2 linked regions of the Ovis aries genome follow. The protein of the gene in region 2 purifies or fractionates together with the protein of the main gene of each other region. This does not show direct contact. Links are inferred from orthologs where the notes say so. Each region holds a gene or a part of one and is shown on either strand. Other genes may lie near its edges.

Region 1 (3,821 bases), on a different chromosome or scaffold from region 2:
CATAAAGTGAGCTTTCAAAAAGCGGGGGATACCTGTGTTAATATTTCTAATAGAGATGAGTCTTTGTCTTCTTTTAGAGGCTGATTTGAGCTGGGCTCTCCTTGGATTATAGTCTTATATATGTTCCTACATGACATTATGGAAATAATGTAACTCTCTGGGTTTTGGTTTTTTTTTTTTTATCTGAAAATAAGGTTCATGTGGAGATCTCCAAAGTTTCTCTTAAAATTCTTTCTGTACCTTTAATTTGATAAACTTGTATTTTCTTAACTATCCTTTTGATTCATTTTACATTTATTTAATTTACTTTACAACCTTTTATGTGTATGTGTGATTTGCAGGATAGAAATTTAATTCCATATCCTTGCAAAATAGAAGGTATCATTCCTTAACTTTCCTAGTGGCACGCAGCTAGTGTTTCAAACCCACATCTATCTGTCTTAAAAAAAGCCCAGTTCTTTACTTTCACATTATGCTGATTTTTTTTCCTTACCTTGTGTATGTTTTGTAGTTTGTATAGTAAAAATACTAGATGAACTTATGAAAAATGGAATTGACCTAAGTAAACTGAATTTTTATTTGTAAAGGCATATTATAATGAAAACAAGCTTTTTATGTCATTTAACTGTTAAAGTACAGGTATAGCAAAATGTTTATCTGATGGGTAAGATTAACCTGAGAAAAATTAAGTGGCTGCTTTTATGTTTGTAACTACTATTGCGAAATTCTGTTTTTTAATGTATTAAGTACATGTAATACCTCTGTGTATTCCCACACAAATATATGTACTTTTATTAAATTGCAGACCCATGAATACATTGACTTTGACAGGTCAGTTCAGTTTTTCTGAACTTCACTCCTGGGTGGTTTTTTGCATGCCTGAAGTTCCTGAAAAACCTCCAGCAGGAGAATGTGTGACATTTTATTTTCAGAATACCTTCCTGGATACACAGCTTGAAAGTACCTACAGGTGAATAAAACTTATTTGTGTTTCACATGTGTTTTTACATAAATGGAACTTGTAAATTGTCATAGGTTTTAAGACAGTAATTTGCAAATAATATAATTTGAAAACTATACTGTTCAAGAGAATCTACTGAAAAGCAAGTGGGACTAATGATTGACTAGCAATAAATATGAAAGATCAATATGTTTCCCATTCTCAACCATAACCAGTTAGAAAATAAATTGTTTTTTTTAAATGTTTCAGAGCAACAATAACAAAATATTCATAAAAATATGTGGGAATGCTCTTCCTTTAGAAATATGTAGAACTTCATGAAGAAAACATTAACATTTTATTGACATAAAAGATTTGATTAATGTGAAGACATTGTAAACATGCAAGTCCTTCTCAAATTGACTTGAACATTTATCCTAATTCCATTTTGAATTACAAGAAGAATGACCATTGAGTTTCTTTATGCAAAAATAAGAAATGGCTCCGAATTTGAAATCTTAGAATATGCAGGCTTTTGAAGCTACCACATTATGAAGTGAAGGTCATCATTCTCTTACACTCTTCCTCAAGCTCACAGTTGCGCTCTTGCCCTCTTCACTGTCACTCCCTTGCATAGGCCTCCCTACTTTCTGTTTCTGAATATAGTGGAGACCAAAATTTTCTTCTCCTCTGTTCTTTTTCAGAATATGTTGGGTAAGGCTGATTTCTCTGTAGTCTGCTTTTACCTTGTACCCTTATACTTTTTCTCATTCTCTCACAGCTATAGGTTAGTATTGTCTGTTTGATCTTTTGTTTTTATTTTAATTTTGTTGTTTGGAGGGGAGAGGGCTTCTTATCTTCCCTCTGTTTCTGTCTCTTGATTGCTTCCCTGAGCAGTTTACTGAGGTATTCTACTTCTGCTTTCTAGCTGAGACTTTACCACGCTAAGTTCAGCAAACAGCAGTGCACACGTAATTTTACCTTTGGGACCAATTTAGCCTTTGGGACCAAGAACTCTCCAGAAATCTAATTGGTTTTATTTTATATATATATTTGTTTCCCCAAATCTTGCTTATATAATTGGTTTTAGCATCAGTTCTGAGGAGCCATTTCACTGTACCCTCTAGGGAATCTTATCTGTGTCTAAGCCTGGAATCATGACTTCTGTTTTGGAGTATGACAGCGAACCTCACACTTTAATCATAGTAGACAATTTGACAGGCCCCTGGCATGTTATATATTTTTACAGTAGCACATCTTTGCTTTTTATCATTCTGTATCCTTAAATATTCTTTTCTTAACAGTCAAAACTCTACTTATCTTTGAAGGTCCAACTCAGTAGCTACATTTTTGAAGTTTTCCTGGATGCTCTTCTCTGTTCCCATAGCATTTTATTCTTACCTGTCTTAGACTTTTCTTGTTACTTGTTTGAAGTATGTAATAATGTTTATGCAAGCTGGTCTCTAAACCAGATTGTAAGCTTCTGGGCAGGGTTTATTCCTTGATTGTTTTTGTTTGTATCCTCACGTGTCTAACACATGGCTTTGAACATAGTGTTGTTTAGTCGCTAAGTTGCGTTCACCTCCTTTGCGACCCCAGGGCCTGCACTTGGCCAGCCTCCTCTGTCCATGGGGATTCTCCAGGCAAGAACACTGGAGTGGGTAGCCGTGTCCTCCAGGGAATCTTCCCAATCCAAGGATCTAACCCAGGTCTCCTGCATTGCAGGCTTATTCTTTACCACTGAGCCAGCTGGGAAGCCCCTGGGACATAGTGGTACACTCAATAAATGTTTTTTTGGGTACCTGATTAAGAAATATATATTGAAGAAGACCCTGCAATCTGACTCCTAGGCATATATCTGGAGAAAAACATAATCCAAAAGGTTACATGCACCACAGTGATTACTGCAGCACTGTTTACAATAGCCAAGACATGGAAACAACCTAGACGTCCATCAGCAGAGGAATGGATAAAAATGTGTTACATATATACAATAGAATATTGTTGTTGTTGTTCAGTCGCTAAGTTGTGTCCAACTCTATGCTCTCTCCTGGGCTGCAGCACACCAAGCTTCCCTGTCACCGTCTCCCAAAGTTTGCTCAGGTTCAAGTCCATTGAGTTGGTAATGCTATCTAACCATTACTCAGCCATTAAAAAGAATTAAATAATTCCATTTGCAGCTATATGGATGGACCCAGAGAGTGTCATAGTAAGTCAGTCAGAGAAGAAGAAATATGGCATGACACCCCTTATATGTGGAATCTAAAAAGAAATGATACAAATGAACTTACTTACAAAACAGAGACTCACAGACTTAGAAAACTAGCTTATGATTGCCAGGGGGAATGGTTAGGGACCTTGGGGAAGGTCATGTACACACTGCTGTATTTAAAATGGGTAACCAAAAAGGACCTATTGTATAGCATATGGAATTCTGCTGAATGTTATGTGCCAGCCTTGATGGGAAGGGGAGGGGGCTTACGGGAGAATGGGTACTTGTATATGTATGGTTGAGTCCTTCACTCTTCTCTTGAGACTGCCACTACATTTTTAATCAGCTATACCTCCATACAAAATGAAAAGTTTAAAGTTTGGATTTAAAAAAAGAAGAAGTATATACTTTGGAGACAGACATACTTAGGTTTGAATCTGAGTCTCTGTGACTCACCAGCTATTCGACCTTAGCTATGTTACTTTCTGAGTTTCAGTTTCTTTTCTGAGGAATGGAAATAATAGTACTTACTTCACTGAATTGTAATGCTTAAAGGAAGATAAACTATGTAAGTCATTCTACAGTGCCAGGTACCATATATGTATTTAATGTGAAATTTCATTAAAGTTGAAGACTAGTGGGAAAAATCTCATGATTTCTAAAATATAA
Region 2 (4,555 bases):
AAATTTAAGGTTCAGCCACCCTTAGAGTCAACATAATTCTTACTTGGCACTTAGCTGAGGCCCTTTAACTGCTTCCAAAATGTTCCTCCTTTACGTGGTTGTCAGAATTAGCTTTGAAAAACACAAACCTAATCAGATCATTCCACTACCTAAAAACATTTATCTTAGAAAAAAGAATCTTTATTCCTAGCTTGATATATCTGACTTCCAGCTAATTTATAAGACTAATCTCTTCCACCTTTTCTTATAAATCCCATGATCTTACCACACTACAACACACATGTACATTCATTTTTGCACATGTTATACTCTACTCTGAATATCCTACCCTTTCTTCACCTTGGCAAATGCTATACATCTTTCATGACCTAAGGCAAATGCCTCACTTTTTTGGTACTGCTGCTGCTAAGTCACTTCAGTCGTGTCCGACTGTGTGACCCCATAGATGGCAGCCCACCAGGCTCCGCCATCCCTGGGATTCCACAGGCAAGAACACTGGAGTGGGTTACCATTTCCTTCTCCAATGCATGAAAGTGAAAACTGAAAGTGAAGTCGCTCAGTCGTGTCCAACTCTTAGCTTCTTCCAATTCCTCAAGGAGTAGTAGTATCTCCTTCTTGGGCTGCCAAAGTACTTTCTATATACATCTACTAAGGCACTTAGCATCCTGAACTAAAAATGGTATGTTTACGTCTGTGCCTTTCTCCCTCACTACTCTCTAGGTTCCCTGCCTTCTTTCATCTTTATACTCTACACTCAGTTTCTCTCAAACTCACCCAATAAATGGCATAGTATGTGATACACAGAAAGCATTAAATAAATTTAGTAGATTTAAGAGTGATATGGGTTTAATATTTTTCTAGATTAATATTATTAATGTTCTAGAGTAAAATTAGATTAGTAAAAGCTATTTTTCAATCCTGAGTACTTCCTAAGACCTTGAAACTGCAATCTACACCCATAATTGAAAAATCATTTTCACTATAATATCCCAAATATAAAAGCCTAAATTATAAAATGATGCAAAAACAGGTTAACACATTACTCAGTCTTTTAATTGCCATAAGATCAAACTTGATCCAGCAAAGTCTAAAAATTTGAATTGCTTCTACTTGGTCATTATTCATTTCTGATTTCAGAAATCCCTTTAATACTAGTTGTAAAGATGAAGTGTATGCAGATGTGTATAACGGACTTTTGGACTCAGAGAGAGAGGGAGAGGGTGGGATGATTTGGGAGAATGGCATTGTAACATGTATACTATCATGTAAGAATCGAATCACCAGTCTATGTCCGACGCAGGATACAGCATGCTTGGGGCTGGTGCACGGTGATGACCCAGAGAGATGTTATGGGGAGGGTGGTGGGAGGGGGGTTCATGTTTGGGAATGCATGTACACCCGTGATGGATTCATGTCAATGTATGGCAAAACCAATACAGTATTGTAAAGTAAAATAAAGTAAAAAAAAAAAATAAATTAAAAAAAAAAAAAGATGAAGTGTATGTTCTTGAAACCAATCAAGAGCAACTTTCTCAGTGAGATTAATGGCCTGAAATATCCATATATAGTATAGTGAAGTGACTGAACATTTTACTTAGTTCACAAACTATCTTGAATTTGCATCATTTTAATTTCCACTGGGTAACTTTACACATAAAAATCACTTCTAACATTAGAACAGCCCACCTATTTTCCAGAATCCTAATGAGTTGTTTTTTTTTCCAGTCAATGATTACAGTGCTTGTAATGCACCTGGGATATAATGTAAACAAAACAAGATGTTGGCTTTGGAAAACGTGCCGTTTCTACTTACTGAAATAGAAGTGATTTGGGAGATTACTTCAAGAATATACTTTGCACATGTTTCTTTCTTTACCTTCAAGAAGATAAGGGAGATAAAGGGAAAACCCTTTGCAAAAGTTAATTCTTCCTGAACCCAGTGTTGGAGAATCCAGTATGATTTTTGGAAGTTACTCTAGAGAAGGCACTGCAGGAGGTATAGAGTCCAGCCGTGTAAGCAAATAAGCGTTAGAAGTTTTAAGAGACTATCACCTCATTCCTACCCCCCAAACTTAAGCTGGCCCCTGACTAGATTTAGACCTGGGCTGAACCAGTAAGTCTGGCCCTCTGGACAAGAATTTGCTTTGGACGTCTAAATCTCGACGGTTACTGAGTCAAATGGATTATTAGGCTACCTATGCTGGACTCAAGTGAGGATCTATGCTGGAAATGGTTGGAAAACCGGCCAAATTTGGCAAAAAAAAAATCTTCCCAGTGGAACAGTTGAATGTGATAATGTGGTGGTGGTGGTGGTGGTGGTGGTGGTGGTGGTGGTGTGTGTGTGTGTGTGTTTTGGGGGTGGGGGTGGGGCAGTAGAAAAGGCTGATAGCGATTATACGTGAGTCCAACGTGCAAAGAAACGCTACAACACAGGTAAAAACTCTTTCCTATGCTAGGAGTTTTCAGGTGAATCCCAAGGGCCCAAGAACACAGCACGCCTCTCCTGGAAAGAAATGTTGCCAACTAGACGAGAGTCCCGGCAAACCACGGAGGAGGGAAGCAGTTACAAAAGTCAAGGCCCGCACTCTGTGGAGGCTGAGGGACGTCTAGCGGCGCAAGCAAAGGACTCTCGTAATCTGGCCGGATGGTAAACCTAAACCTGGACCAATTTACCAGGCCCTAGAACCTCATCCTTTCCTCCAAGCCCCAAAGGGTCAGAAAAAGAAACAAGAGCTCCCTCACGTCTCCACCAAAGACTTACCATTTGGTAGAAACACCTCCCTACTAACCTCGCTCTCGTCTCCATCCCTACGAGACGCTCGCCGCCGTCAGGCTGGCACTGGGAAGCCAAAACGCCAGGGTAAAGAACCTTCCCTTACGCCTCGTATTTTGCGCAAGCGCGCAGCAAGCCCAGCTGAGCGGGCTGGTAGTTTTGGTTGCTAAGAAACCAGAGGGAAAGTTCCGCTTAACGGTAGGCGGGTAAAGGCAGACCATTACGCTACTGGTAGAGACCAGAGAGAGGGGGCGGGCCTCGAGGGTCTTCTTTTCTGACTATTGGGTGAAACAACTGTCAGTCAGTGGGGGCAAAAAGCCTGGATAGGCGGGGCTGCAGGAGAGATCAGCGAAAGCGGCCTTAGCAACGGTTTGCGGGCGGTGAGCTACTGTTGGGCAGCTCGGCTGGCGGGTAAAGCTGGGAGGTGCCCGCCGGGGGCGCCGATTGGAGACATGGTGAGTGCGAGAATGCAACTTCTTACTGGGGCTGAGATTGAAATTTCTCCCTGAAATAAGGAAGTTTTGTTTGGTTTTGGAAATGTATTATTCGCCTCCTTTCTAAATTATCCTCGAGTGTCATTAGTAACCCCTCCATTCGTCGCCGAATAGAAGCGCACTGTCCGTAGCTCTAGGAACGGAAGAGCGGTTCTCCAGTTTATTTTTTCCCCTCTTTAACCCCAGCAACCGTCTTACCAAAGGCGTTGGAGACAGGAACCACTCGCTAGCCAGAAACGAGTTGAATACAGAGAATAAGAGGCTTTAAAACTGTTGAAGAATATGGGCCTCTAGGAAAGACATCCGGAACTCTGAAAAACTGGCCGGGGAAGCTACGACCTCTGCTATTGGAACTACTGAAGACGACACCAGTGTAGCTGCCGTCCAGGGATGAAGAATGCGCTGCTACCACGACCAACTCTTAAGATATGTGAAGCTGGTGTCTAGATACACAGCAACATGGAATCTCTGATACTACTGCCTCTTATCCCAGAGCTGAAGACAAGATACTGAAATGAGGCTACAGCAGAAAATGGCAGGAAGCGGGAAGATGACCTCCATCTTCCCTGGATATTGATAATTGGTCCAACCTTTATTCTTCTCCAGATCCCTGGAGTAATTTTTTTAACCTGAAAAATGTATTTTTTTCATTTCCCAGTCTGCAGTGTAGAAAAGTATGTGAGAAGGTGGGAAAAGATACGATGTTTCAATTAACCATATCTCACACATTTTATTATGAGACATACAGGCACAGATGAAAGTAAATATGTCTTAAACACTGCTGTTCGGATATACCAAGTAAGGCCAATTTTTTCCCATATAACATCTACTATTCTGGCATGTCTTCTTTGCCTTTTCTGCTTCTCAAAGGGCACTAAGTTGAAAGAAAAACCCAAGATGTTAAAAAGAACCAGGCTTTCCAGCAAGATATATATTTATAACTAAAAGCATAAATGTTAGCAAAGGGAAAGGGGAAAATTCTTGAGGTTCATTATATGGAATAGGATGCTTGACTATGTCTATTATATTTAGTTAGTCCATTAATTCTGGTTCTGGTACTTCTCCCAGTTACACAGTTTATCTTTCACCCACATGTGTATTTATTACAGGCATCCAGACCAAGTTCAGACCAATGGAAAAAAAATGCAGCAAAAATTGAATTGAATGAAACTCAAAAGCAAGAAATTAAAGAGGCCTTTGATTTATTCGATGTTGATGGGTCTGGAACCATAGATGTGAAAGAACTGAAGGTTCTGAAATTACTTCTAATTCTGAAACATTTAAAAAC

Evidence for each region.
Region 1: the proteins of BBS12 (region 2) and BBS7 purify together in Homo sapiens (co-immunoprecipitation; 3 studies listed by BioGRID and IntAct, counting the BioPlex papers as one, with this or other methods). This does not show direct contact. The link is inferred for Ovis aries from reciprocal best matches to the Homo sapiens genes BBS12 and BBS7.

The regions. Positions count from the first base shown.
Region 1 is NC_056059.1:3,743,373-3,747,193, forward strand, and holds part of BBS7 (Bardet-Biedl syndrome 7 protein), read left to right. Parts: intron 1-805; coding exon 806-970; intron 971-3,821.
Region 2 is NC_056070.1:35,163,468-35,168,022, forward strand, and holds the start of BBS12 (Bardet-Biedl syndrome 12 protein), read right to left. Parts: upstream 2,900-4,555; 5' UTR 2,790-2,899; exon of another isoform or gene 2,762-2,789; intron 1-2,761. Other genes in the region: centrin-4, read left to right, coding at 4,003-4,065, 4,377-4,517. UniProt on the Homo sapiens protein: Component of the chaperonin-containing T-complex (TRiC), a molecular chaperone complex that assists the folding of proteins upon ATP hydrolysis.